Saccharomyces cerevisiae S288C: one gene and its partner. Changing the gene in region 1 together with any one later gene gives a genetic interaction. Each region holds a gene or a part of one and is shown on either strand. Other genes may lie near its edges.

What was found. A genetic interaction does not mean that the proteins touch.
Region 2: of ULP1 (region 1) and TDP1, a mutation in one rescues a mutant of the other (synthetic rescue), as found in Saccharomyces cerevisiae (one study listed by BioGRID).

Annotation. Positions count from the first base shown.
Region 1 is NC_001148.4:510,618-517,536, reverse strand, and holds ULP1 (SUMO protease ULP1), read left to right. Parts: upstream 1-3,358; coding exon 3,359-5,224; downstream 5,225-6,919. Other genes in the region: VTC3 (vacuolar transporter chaperone), read left to right, coding at 519-3,026; ECM23 (Ecm23p), read right to left, coding at 5,873-6,436. UniProt on the Saccharomyces cerevisiae protein: Protease that catalyzes two essential functions in the SUMO pathway: processing of full-length SMT3 to its mature form and deconjugation of SMT3 from targeted proteins. Has an essential role in the G2/M phase of the cell cycle.
Region 2 is NC_001134.8:668,156-674,126, reverse strand, and holds TDP1 (tyrosyl-DNA phosphodiesterase 1), read left to right. Parts: upstream 1-3,829; coding exon 3,830-5,464; downstream 5,465-5,971. Other genes in the region: MCX1 (Mcx1p), read left to right, coding at 1-555; YBR225W (uncharacterized protein), read right to left, coding at 798-3,500; PCS60 (Pcs60p), read left to right, coding at 5,776-5,971. UniProt on the Saccharomyces cerevisiae protein: DNA repair enzyme that can remove a variety of covalent adducts from DNA through hydrolysis of a 3'-phosphodiester bond, giving rise to DNA with a free 3' phosphate.

The sequences.
Region 1 (6,919 bases):
AGATAGTCACCATTACCGGTTACATTACCGGCCACATAGTAGAACGCCAGAGTATATATGCCGTGACCTTCACGGTTTGGATGTTAATGAGTAACTTGCACAGCTATTGGTATTTGGACTTCTTGGCACATTTTTCCCTGTACAGCTTTTCTTTTTTTCAATGTGCGAGGGCCCACGTGGCTTAATACAACACAGTGCAGTCGCAAGCACGTGCATGCGATTTTGAAAGCACAAGGCAGAAACGTGGAAACATACACACACGCACACACCCAACTTTCGAGTGGGTTTCATCCAGGAAGAACTTTTAAATAGAGGCCAGAGAGCGGCTTACATCAGACATCTTTTCTCGAACTTACTTCATCTTCTCAATATCGAGAGGGCCCATTGGCGGGTAATAATACGCATAAGAGTGATCTAATCCAAGTAGTACCTCCTTAGCGCTTTTTTTATTATCACTATAGGTCATTTGGCTATTAGAGCGAACAGCAGAATTTGTCCTTGGTTTTCAGAGTTTGAAAATGCTATTTGGTATTAAACTGGCTAACGACGTATATCCTCCCTGGAAGGATTCATATATCGACTATGAAAGGTTGAAGAAATTACTAAAGGAAAGCGTCATACATGATGGCCGTAGTTCCGTGGATAGTTGGTCCGAAAGGAATGAATCTGATTTTGTGGAGGCCTTGGATAAAGAACTAGAAAAGGTTTACACATTTCAAATTTCCAAATATAATGCTGTCTTGCGAAAATTAGATGATTTAGAGGAAAACACTAAATCAGCTGAAAAAATCCAAAAAATAAATTCTGAGCAGTTCAAAAACACCTTAGAAGAATGTCTAGATGAGGCTCAAAGATTGGATAACTTTGACAGGTTAAATTTTACTGGGTTTATCAAGATTGTGAAGAAACACGATAAATTACATCCAAACTATCCTTCTGTAAAGTCTCTTTTACAAGTCAGATTGAAAGAACTTCCTTTCAACAATTCAGAAGAGTATTCTCCCTTGTTGTATAGGATCTCATATCTGTACGAGTTCTTGAGATCAAATTATGATCATCCAAATACGGTGTCTAAATCATTAGCAAGTACTTCTAAATTATCACATTTTTCTAACCTTGAAGACGCAAGTTTTAAAAGCTACAAGTTTTGGGTTCATGATGATAATATAATGGAGGTTAAGGCTAGAATCTTAAGGCATCTACCTGCTTTGGTTTATGCGTCGGTTCCAAATGAAAATGACGATTTCGTCGATAATCTAGAATCAGATGTCCGCGTACAACCTGAAGCGCGCTTGAATATTGGTTCAAAGAGTAACAGCCTTTCTAGTGATGGTAATAGCAACCAAGATGTTGAAATTGGAAAATCAAAGAGCGTTATTTTCCCACAGTCATATGATCCAACAATCACTACATTATATTTCGACAACGATTTTTTTGATTTGTACAATAACAGATTGTTGAAAATCAGCGGTGCACCTACGCTGAGATTAAGATGGATCGGTAAACTGCTAGACAAACCTGACATATTTTTGGAAAAGAGAACTTTTACAGAAAATACCGAAACTGGTAATTCAAGTTTTGAAGAAATCAGATTGCAAATGAAAGCCAAATTCATCAACAATTTTATTTTTAAAAATGATCCCAGTTACAAAAACTATTTAATTAATCAACTAAGAGAAAGGGGTACTCAAAAGGAGGAACTGGAAAAACTTTCTAGAGACTTTGATAACATCCAAAACTTTATTGTTGAGGAGAAGTTGCAGCCAGTTTTGAGAGCTACCTATAATAGAACTGCTTTCCAAATTCCTGGAGATCAAAGTATTAGAGTCACTATCGATTCCAATATCATGTACATTAGAGAGGATTCTTTGGACAAAAATAGGCCCATTAGGAACCCTGAGAATTGGCACCGTGACGATATTGATTCCAATATTCCCAACCCATTGAGGTTTTTAAGAGCAGGAGAATATTCGAAGTTCCCCTATTCTGTAATGGAGATTAAGGTTATAAACCAAGATAATTCTCAAATGCCTAATTATGAGTGGATTAAAGATTTAACTAATTCACATTTAGTTAACGAAGTTCCAAAATTTTCTTTGTACTTGCAAGGTGTGGCTTCACTGTTTGGTGAAGACGATAAATATGTCAACATTTTGCCATTCTGGTTGCCCGATTTAGAAACCGACATCAGAAAGAACCCTCAGGAGGCTTACGAAGAAGAGAAGAAAACTTTACAAAAACAAAAGAGCATTCATGATAAACTTGATAATATGAGAAGGTTATCCAAAATCTCTGTACCAGATGGAAAGACCACTGAAAGACAAGGGCAAAAAGATCAGAATACTCGCCACGTTATTGCAGATTTAGAAGATCACGAATCATCAGATGAAGAAGGTACTGCATTGCCCAAGAAATCTGCAGTCAAAAAAGGGAAGAAATTCAAAACGAATGCAGCTTTCTTGAAAATTCTTGCTGGAAAAAATATTTCAGAAAATGGAAATGATCCATACTCCGACGATACAGACAGTGCCTCTTCTTTCCAATTACCTCCGGGAGTTAAAAAACCAGTTCACCTTTTGAAAAATGCCGGTCCTGTCAAAGTTGAGGCAAAAGTTTGGCTCGCCAATGAACGTACATTCAATAGATGGTTAAGTGTAACCACATTGCTGAGTGTATTGACCTTTTCTATCTATAATTCAGTGCAAAAAGCCGAATTTCCACAACTAGCTGATCTGTTGGCCTATGTATATTTCTTTTTGACTTTGTTTTGCGGAGTATGGGCTTATAGAACCTACTTAAAAAGATTAACTCTTATTAAAGGTAGAAGTGGTAAGCATTTGGATGCACCTGTGGGACCTATTTTGGTTGCAGTTGTATTAATCGTTACCTTGGTTGTTAACTTTAGTGTGGCTTTTAAAGAGGCCGCTAGGAGGGAAAGAGGATTAGTAAACGTTTCCTCCCAGCCTTCGTTACCCCGTACACTAAAACCAATTCAAGATTTTATCTTCAATTTGGTTGGGGAATAAGAACATGTATATTTTTTATATACACATATATTACACAAGTACCAGTTACTATCATAATTAATTAATTGTTCTCTATTTATACATATTTGCTCTTCCGTATTAAATCATATTAAACAGCTTTCAGCAGGTGCCGGCGCCGCCTCTTTTTATTTTCAAAATTCAAAATGCACATAATGAGAAGATGTGTGTGATAGTTAAACCCAGATCAAAAAATAGCTGAAACGTTCGTTTCAGCTCCGCAAATCTATATTGCTAATTAAAATTATTCATCAATATCTACTTCTGTTTCAGTTTTTTTCCTCTTCTTCCTCTGACCTTTGGATATCATAATAATGTCAGTTGAAGTAGATAAGCACCGGAACACACTACAGTATCATAAAAAGAACCCTTACTCCCCTTTATTCTCCCCAATTTCTACATATAGGTGTTATCCTCGGGTATTGAACAATCCCTCCGAGTCTAGAAGATCAGCCAGTTTTAGTGGTATTTATAAAAAAAGAACCAATACGTCAAGATTCAATTATTTAAACGACCGCCGTGTTTTATCAATGGAAGAATCAATGAAAGATGGGTCAGATAGAGCTAGTAAAGCTGGTTTTATAGGAGGCATAAGAGAAACTCTTTGGAACTCAGGTAAGTACTTATGGCACACATTTGTGAAAAACGAACCTCGCAATTTTGATGGTTCTGAAGTAGAAGCAAGTGGTAACAGCGACGTTGAGAGCAGAAGTTCTGGAAGTAGGAGCAGTGACGTACCATATGGTCTACGTGAAAATTATTCCTCGGATACAAGAAAACACAAATTCGATACGTCGACGTGGGCCTTACCAAATAAAAGGAGAAGAATCGAAAGTGAAGGTGTGGGGACACCTTCAACCTCACCAATCAGCTCTTTGGCTTCTCAAAAAAGCAATTGTGATAGTGACAATAGCATAACTTTTTCGAGAGATCCTTTTGGTTGGAATAAGTGGAAAACAAGTGCTATTGGTTCTAACTCAGAAAATAACACTTCTGATCAGAAAAATAGCTACGACAGGCGACAGTATGGGACAGCCTTTATTAGAAAGAAAAAAGTTGCAAAACAGAACATTAACAATACTAAACTGGTGTCGAGAGCACAATCTGAGGAAGTAACATATTTACGACAAATATTCAACGGAGAATATAAAGTTCCAAAAATATTAAAAGAAGAAAGAGAAAGACAGTTAAAATTAATGGATATGGATAAGGAAAAAGACACTGGCTTAAAAAAGTCTATAATCGACTTAACTGAAAAGATCAAAACAATTTTAATTGAGAACAACAAGAACAGACTACAGACAAGAAATGAAAATGATGATGATTTAGTATTTGTTAAAGAAAAAAAGATATCTTCTTTGGAAAGGAAACATAAGGATTACTTAAATCAAAAGTTGAAGTTTGATAGATCTATATTAGAGTTTGAGAAAGACTTCAAAAGATATAACGAAATTTTAAATGAAAGAAAGAAGATTCAAGAAGATCTTAAAAAAAAGAAAGAACAATTGGCCAAGAAGAAACTTGTTCCTGAATTAAATGAAAAAGACGATGACCAAGTACAAAAAGCTTTGGCATCTAGAGAAAATACTCAGTTAATGAATAGAGATAATATAGAGATAACAGTACGTGATTTTAAGACCTTGGCACCACGAAGATGGCTAAATGACACTATCATTGAGTTTTTTATGAAATACATTGAAAAATCTACCCCTAATACAGTGGCGTTTAATTCATTTTTCTATACCAATTTATCAGAAAGGGGTTATCAAGGCGTCCGGAGGTGGATGAAGAGAAAGAAGACACAAATTGATAAACTTGATAAAATCTTTACACCAATAAATTTGAACCAATCCCACTGGGCGTTGGGCATAATTGATTTAAAAAAGAAAACTATAGGTTACGTAGATTCATTATCGAATGGTCCAAATGCTATGAGTTTCGCTATACTGACTGACTTGCAAAAATATGTTATGGAGGAAAGTAAGCATACAATAGGAGAAGACTTTGATTTGATTCATTTAGATTGTCCGCAGCAACCAAATGGCTACGACTGTGGAATATATGTTTGTATGAATACTCTCTATGGAAGTGCAGATGCGCCATTGGATTTTGATTATAAAGATGCGATTAGGATGAGAAGATTTATTGCCCATTTGATTTTAACCGACGCTTTAAAATAGTTATTCTTTTATAATATACAATTATTATACATAAGTAGAAATATTCAGATCATTGGATATGGAATAAAGTTCAATAAACCACTTGAAAATAAATCATAAGAATAGCATAAGCACCAGCTCAATTTAGATGTCTGTACAAAAAGTAATATATTTTAGAGATGAGCAGGCAGAACCACACATTAGTGACGATTGTCTTCGACCTTATGTGGAATCTTAAGCTTTAACATATAAGTAAAAATTTTTATTTTCAACAAAAGATTAGAACGAAATGAAATTCCTTAATTGAACCTTCTCTTGGATATCAATCTATTGGCAATCATTCCTAGAGAATATATTATTGAGTGAAAACTGTAGATACGTGCTAAGCGGTAAAGCCCTTATGAACATCGTCACACTATCTCTATATTGAGCCTCCGTAAATTTCGAATCATTTGAAATTCATTTTTCCTGGTAGGAAGATACTTGATAGTGGAGGATAAGTAAAGTAAATTGTGGTTATCATTTATTTGGTGGTAAAGTACCTTTTTTATGTTTTTTTTGAAGATGGAAATTCAGGCATTTTAAAAAAATAGAAAGCTCGAAATATCTCAAAAAACATAAAAATAGAGGAAGAATCCGCTGAATATACCATCTTTACAAACTACTTAACTATTTATTTTTAAATATAAAATTTTTAGTACCATCATCGGAGGATTGTTGCGATCGTATTTTTTTCTCCATTTTTTTCCTATATGCTATGCCACATCGACTACATAGCTCAACATTTCCATTAGGTCCACTTCTCCACTGAGAAGTCCAGGTGTCACCACAAGTGGCGCACTCTTTTGGTTGACCGTTGGGGAGTATAGTTTGTTTCTTCCTACTTTTAGGTCTATATCCTGCTAAAGATTTCTTTCCATTGGATGATATTGGTAGTGATGAAAAAGATGGGGCTGGTAGAATAGAGGGGTTATGCAAAGGCCCACCAAGACGACTTTCTTCCTTCAATTTTGGACTCAGCGCACTATTTAAGCTTTTGATCTTCTGTTCAAGAATATCTGCTCTTTTTAAATCTGGCGTGACACCAGATTTCGGGATACTGGCTACTGAACAGCAATAATTGGGATTAGCGGCAATGAACAGAACCATTTGTACAAAACGATCGAAGTGGAATTTCGTTCTACGACCAGAGCTACTAGCGCCGCTTGTTCCCTGCTCTTTGTTATATAACATAATATGATTTAAAAGTTCTATCACTCAGCACTACAACGCAGTATTTTTATTCTAGATGACCAGTATAGCAAATATTGTTACCCTTGAGATATTGGTAATTTAACCAAATCTCAAGTCATAAATGCCTCCCTTTTAAGTTTACATAGGCAGTGGACAGATTGGTACATCATATTAAAGGAAATAATGAACGCTAAAAAGAATGCCTTTTACTGACACATTCACTTTTAATACGAAAACGGATTTTGTGGTATATGACGTTGAGCACTGCGTGGTTTTCTGTGAATCCGCCGTGCCTAAAATGGACCCTTAATTATTTAACAATAGACCGGCCCGAATAATGTTAACATGAAGGGAAAAGTGCACATAACTGCAAACTACTTTGGTAGGTTGATTATCAGAGCTAAGCCATCCTACAGGTAATGATTTCCAAATTTTTTCTTAAGTAAAAAAGTTCAGAAAATAGAAGAAATATAAAATTTAAAA
Region 2 (5,971 bases), on another chromosome or scaffold:
AAAAAAGTGTGTGCTTTAGACTTGACCACCCCCACAGATTTAGTTAGCTTTGGTCTAATTCCTGAATTAATTGGCAGAGTCCCAATTATAACTGCTCTGCAGCCTCTACAAAGAGACGATTTATTTCATATATTAAAAGAACCTAAAAATGCCTTATTGGATCAATATGAATATATTTTTAAGCAATTTGGGGTAAGATTGTGTGTTACACAAAAGGCGCTAAAGAAAGTTGCTCAATTTGCTCTCAAGGAAGGAACTGGCGCCAGAGGGTTGAGAGGGATAATGGAAAGACTTCTGCTAAACGTTAATTATGATTGCCCGGGTTCTAACATAGCATACGTTTTAATCGACGAAGCTACTGTCGACTCGTTACAGGAAACAGAGCACTCTTTGGCTTCCCAAGTGGACGTAAAATACTATTCTGGTGATGAAAAGGACAGTTTAATTCGTGACGTTTCTGAAGAAGATAAAAAATTAGGAGTTATGCTAGAAAAAGAGTTGGGTCATTCTGCTAACATTCATACCCCAACAATTCCCAAGAGAAGCTTAACATAAAAAAAAATGAATGGTATAGAATATATAAATATAGATGTAATAAATGTAGTAAATGAACAAATAATCTTCCTACAAAGTACTATGCCATGGGAAGTAAAAAAAATTAATAAATATTGGCTAAAGTGTTTCAAATTGGTTCTACGATACTGGGAGACTACTCCTTATCATAATGCTTTTTGTCCAGTAGTAAAAATTGAAGTAATTCTTGAACAATTTAAAAAAAAATTGGAACGGCGGCACAATTATTTGGTATATGGCAGCTTTGGCTTTTGCGCCACCACATACAAAGTTCTAAAGCAGCCAGCGTTGTCATCGATTTTTCCTATGTGTTCTTCCACATATCTTTTGAAAAGAGTGGTGGGGTCGGTATCCTTTGGAGGACAACTACTATCTGGTAGTTGCCTCCTTAACATGTAGTCCCACATATCTAAAGAATTAAATTCATTCAAAAAGCCCATATCTGTTTTGAAGTCACCAGTTTTCAAACTTAGGACCGAGGACTTGATGCCTGTAAACCCTACATCCTTGAATGTCCTCGTTAAGTGTTTTGTAGGATGGATATGTAAGCCTTTATTTATCGCATCAATAGCCATAGCATCAAATGTCTTGTCCCGTTCTTTTGTAGTCAAAAACTCTTCTGATGAATTATTTGCTTTTTCGGCATCGGCGTTGCCAAGAATTCCAGTATAGTATGTGTTTGAAATCCTTAAATCTGGAACAATTGCCAGCGCGTACCCGCCAGGAATTATTGATCTGTATATTTCCCTAAGTAGAGCTTTCCATTTATAATAACTTAAACTTGTCCAGACCCACGGGCATATTACAGCAGGTATAGTGTCTGATGCAAACGGCAGTCTTAATTTTAAATATTCTTTACCATAAATAGCTGCGCTTTTTGCCCTGTCAAGTCCTTCATTTGGAAAGGAGTTATCCGAATTAGAGGATATTGGTGATGACAAAGGTGGTTCATCTTCAGGCTGAAGTTGTGCATTAGAGGACCTCTTCACTTCCTTTGGCAAAATAAATTGGGTCGGTAAATCGATTTCTTTGTAGTTGTTCAAAGTCCGGCAAAAAAAATTCTCCAACCATTCATTTTGATGTGCTTGGTTGGCTGATTTGACATGGGGAGCTTTCTCTGTCCGAGGGGGACTAGAGATATGTGACTGTGGTTGAATTTTTGGAGAAGAAGAAGAAGATATGCTAGGTGAAACTGAAGGGCTTGTAGTATGTGAAGTTGATGCAAGTTGAGAATGCTTTCTCTTGAAAAAGTTGACGAAACCAGATTTTTTAGTAGCCTTGGTAGGGCTCTTCTTCCTTTTGACAGCATCTGCTCCCGAGGACGGCAATGATAAAGATCTACTTGAAGCGAATTGGTCGTTTAGAGGGTCTTCCTCAACTCCCTGATTGAAGTTGTTTCTAGAAATACGTTCTTTTGCATCATCTGTAAAGAACTTTCTATTCATGCAATCATACATATACTCTGAAGCATTGGAAGAATTCAATTCGATAACTTCTTGTTCGTCAGAAACTATTTTCGCTCTTGAACCCTTTCGTGGCAAATAATTTTGTAAGTTTGTTAAATACTCAGGAGCAATTTCACTAGCATTCTTATTCTGAGCGTCATTGTCACTGCTGTCAATCATCCAGGGAGATAAATCTAATGCGAAATCTGCGATGTTCAAGCTTGGTTCATCATACGCCAGCTGCCAACCGCCCAGGGTTTTATGCAGCGGTCTTATTAATAAGATGTCAATTTCGTCTAATGGATCCGATATTACTGGCCTTGGAGAGTTTGCTTCTATATCTAACTGCTGAATATATAATGTAGGGTCACTGATCTTGTTGCTGGTGGTGCTGATTGTTGGATTAGAATGTTGTCTTGTGGTTGGTTTTCTTTTTATTAGTTCCTCCACTACTTCAGATGAAAAGAAGAATGAATTTGATTGCAGTAAAAATTTTTGAGATTGAGCCAACCATAATTGAATCAAGGATTCAATTTCAGAATAATCTTTTAACGGGTCAAACGATGGAAAGCATTTAACCTCAGTCTCTATATTTATGATGTTTTCAATGTTAAATGGATAACATTCAAATGCATATTTCCTAGATTCCAAATATTTTGTTAGGAAATCAATGTACGACCGTAATCTTTTCTTGGCAAATATTAAAGAGTCTTCTGGCGAGGAGTCCATGTTAAAAGATAGAAACAAGTCCATTCTATTAAAGAGCTCATTATGATTCGGGTCGTACATTATTTGTTTGAATTCACCGTCTATGCAAATGTTGATTAAATTATGATTTCCTGAAACGGTTTTGATTAGAAGAGAAGAATCTGATGCCGGTAAAGTGTTCCAGTCCCATTTTTTTCTAGAATGGAGTTTCTTGACAACGTTCGAAGTTGCACCGTGTAGACCACCACCTCCCCGGCCATTGCCGACCATATTGGATACAATGAATCGCGGTGCAGAAGGGTCTGGTGAGTAATTAGCTTTCACTTCGGAAGTCGGAGTTCCGCTTCTATGACTATGTTTATTATTACTTGTATGATGATGATGTAGACCTATTTTGGAAAGCTGAGCGGACTTCAGTTTGGATACTGAGGATGAGGCAGCGGAGTCAGATGATCGTCTTGACGAGTTTGAGAACAAGTCATCCGCCAGTCTAAAGTTTGGCAAATGTAAGGGCGAATCAAAGGACGAGAGCTTATCTGAATGATGGCTTACTTGTGGTGAGTGTGATTCTACTGAACTACTTGATTGCGTGGTTCCATTTCTACTCTCTTTTTCTTGTTTCCCCTTTTCTTTGTCAGCATTTTTATGTTCAGTAATCATTGAACTTGTATGGTTATCATGTGCTTTTAAGTTGGAAATTTTGTTACTGGTTATACTGGTTAACCCCCTATCATTCTTACTATCAATGTTTTTTGCTTCCTTATTGGAGCCCATTGTATTTACTTGAGCAGTTTATAAAAAGTGGATAAATGAGGGGAAAAATAATAAAAAAGAAAATTGAACAATCCTTCAATATGTGTCCTTTAATAATTACTACTACTTTACACACTTCTCCAGTAGCTGCTGCTTGTTTCAGGTGATGTGAACAACGTGTTTCAGCGTTCTTGGTAAGTGTTGGTATGGATCCCTTCTGATGTATTTTCGGCGGCCGCACTAAACTGCGAAAATGGTAATTTAATAAAGGGCTTATAAAGAGGAAAATAATGCAGAGAAACGGTGAGCCCAGACAAGAATGATGATAATGTGTTTTCAACCGATCATTAATGTCACGAGAAACAAATTTCAATGGAACTAAGAGGAAGAGGTCGGATGTTGCCGAGAAAGTAGCACAACGGTGGAAGAGCGTCAGGTATAGTGCTGAAATGGAGAATATGGCTCCGGTCAACAGTAACAATGATAGCGACGACTGCGTCATAGTCAGTGAATCGAAAATCATTGATTTGACTAATCAGGAACAAGATTTGAGTGAGAGAATAGAAACAAACGATACGGCAAAAGGTGCCGTTTTTAAACTAATGAAATCGGACTTCTATGAAAGAGAGGATTTTATGGGAGAAGTAGAGGATATGATTACATTGAAAGATATCTTTGGCACTGAGACACTAAAAAGAAGCATACTCTTCAGTTTCCAATACGAACTTGATTTCTTGTTGAGACAATTCCACCAGAACGTAGAGAACATAACCATCGTCGGCCAAAAGGGTACTATTATGCCTATCGAAGCCCGTGCTATGGACGCGACACTGGCAGTAATATTAAAAAAGGTCAAACTTATTGAAATAACGATGCCCCCATTCGCTTCCCACCATACGAAGCTGATCATAAACTTTTACGATAATGGCGAATGCAAAATATTCTTGCCATCTAACAATTTTACGTCAATGGAGACTAACCTGCCTCAACAGGTGTGTTGGTGCAGTCCCCTTTTGAAAATAGGTAAAGAAGGGCTACCAGTACCGTTTAAGAGAAGCTTGATAGAATACCTCAATTCGTACCACCTGAAAGACATTGACGAATTGATTACAAAAAGCGTAGAGGAAGTTAACTTTGCTCCTTTGAGCGAATTAGAATTTGTATATTCTACGCCCTCCAAATTTCAGTCGTCGGGTTTACTGTCGTTTTACAATAAACTAGAAAAACTTTCTGCTGGCACAAGTGCTAGTGATACTGCAAAACATTATCTATGTCAAACTTCATCCATAGGGACATCTCTATCAAGAGCGCGAGACGAAAACTTATGGACACATCTAATGATTCCTCTGTTTACCGGAATCATGTCCCCTCCAGCAAAGGACACCGCTGGGAGGAAGAAAGCAGAAATACTGCCAACGAATTCATTGATTAATGAATATTCGCAGAGAAAAATCAAGCCGTACATTATTTTCCCCACCGAACAAGAGTTTGTCACCAGTCCCTTAAAGTGGTCCAGTTCCGGGTGGTTTCATTTTCAATATCTTCAGAAAAAGAGCTACTACGAAATGCTGCGAAACAAGTTCAAAGTATTTTACAAGCAAGACCCTGCTATGGTTACTAGAAGACGAGGGACGACGCCCGCGCACTCTAAGTTTTACATGCATTGTGCAACAAACTCCGCAGGGCCCTGTGATGCATCGCAGGTATTTAAAGAACTAGAATGGTGCCTTTATACTTCGGCAAACCTCAGCCAAACAGCATGGGGCACCGTTTCAAGAAAACCACGCAATTATGAAGCAGGAGTGCTTTACCATAGTCGCAGGTTAGCAAATACCAGGAAGGTCACGTGCCGTACTTTTACACGTGACCGTAGAGGCTGCGCGGGTAATCCCACCCATGTGGCCGTGCCATTCACGCTGCCAGTCATACCATACGACTTAGCTGAGGACGAGTGCTTTTGCCTTGCTCGTCATGAGAACGACTAACAAGTAAGAGCGCGATGTTGCTGTCCACTTAGGCATCACTATATGGGGCCAGGAATGGCAAATTTACTTGATAAACTTCAGGCGATTGGATTTTGGTGCTCAGAATATTTTTTTCTCGGGCCGAAAGCGTCTTTAACTATTCCGAGCTAAAGCTTCCGAGTCCTTTATTCGGTCTTTTTTTATTTTTCAAGATTAACTGTATATAAATAGAGATGGTATGATTAAAAGCTCTTTTTAATAGATGCTCCTTCTTGAAATTTACTCCCACTGTGCTGCAAGAGGTTAGACGCTTCACGCACATTTTTGCTACAATGACAAGTGCCGCTACTGTTACTGCTTCGTTCAACGATACTTTTAGCGTATCCGATAATGTCGCCGTTATTGTTCCTGAAACGGACACTCAGGTGACCTACAGGGATCTATCCCACATGGTGGGTCACTTCCAGACCATGTTCACAAATCCTAATTCTCCATTGTACGGAGCTGTTTTCAGACAAGATACAGTGG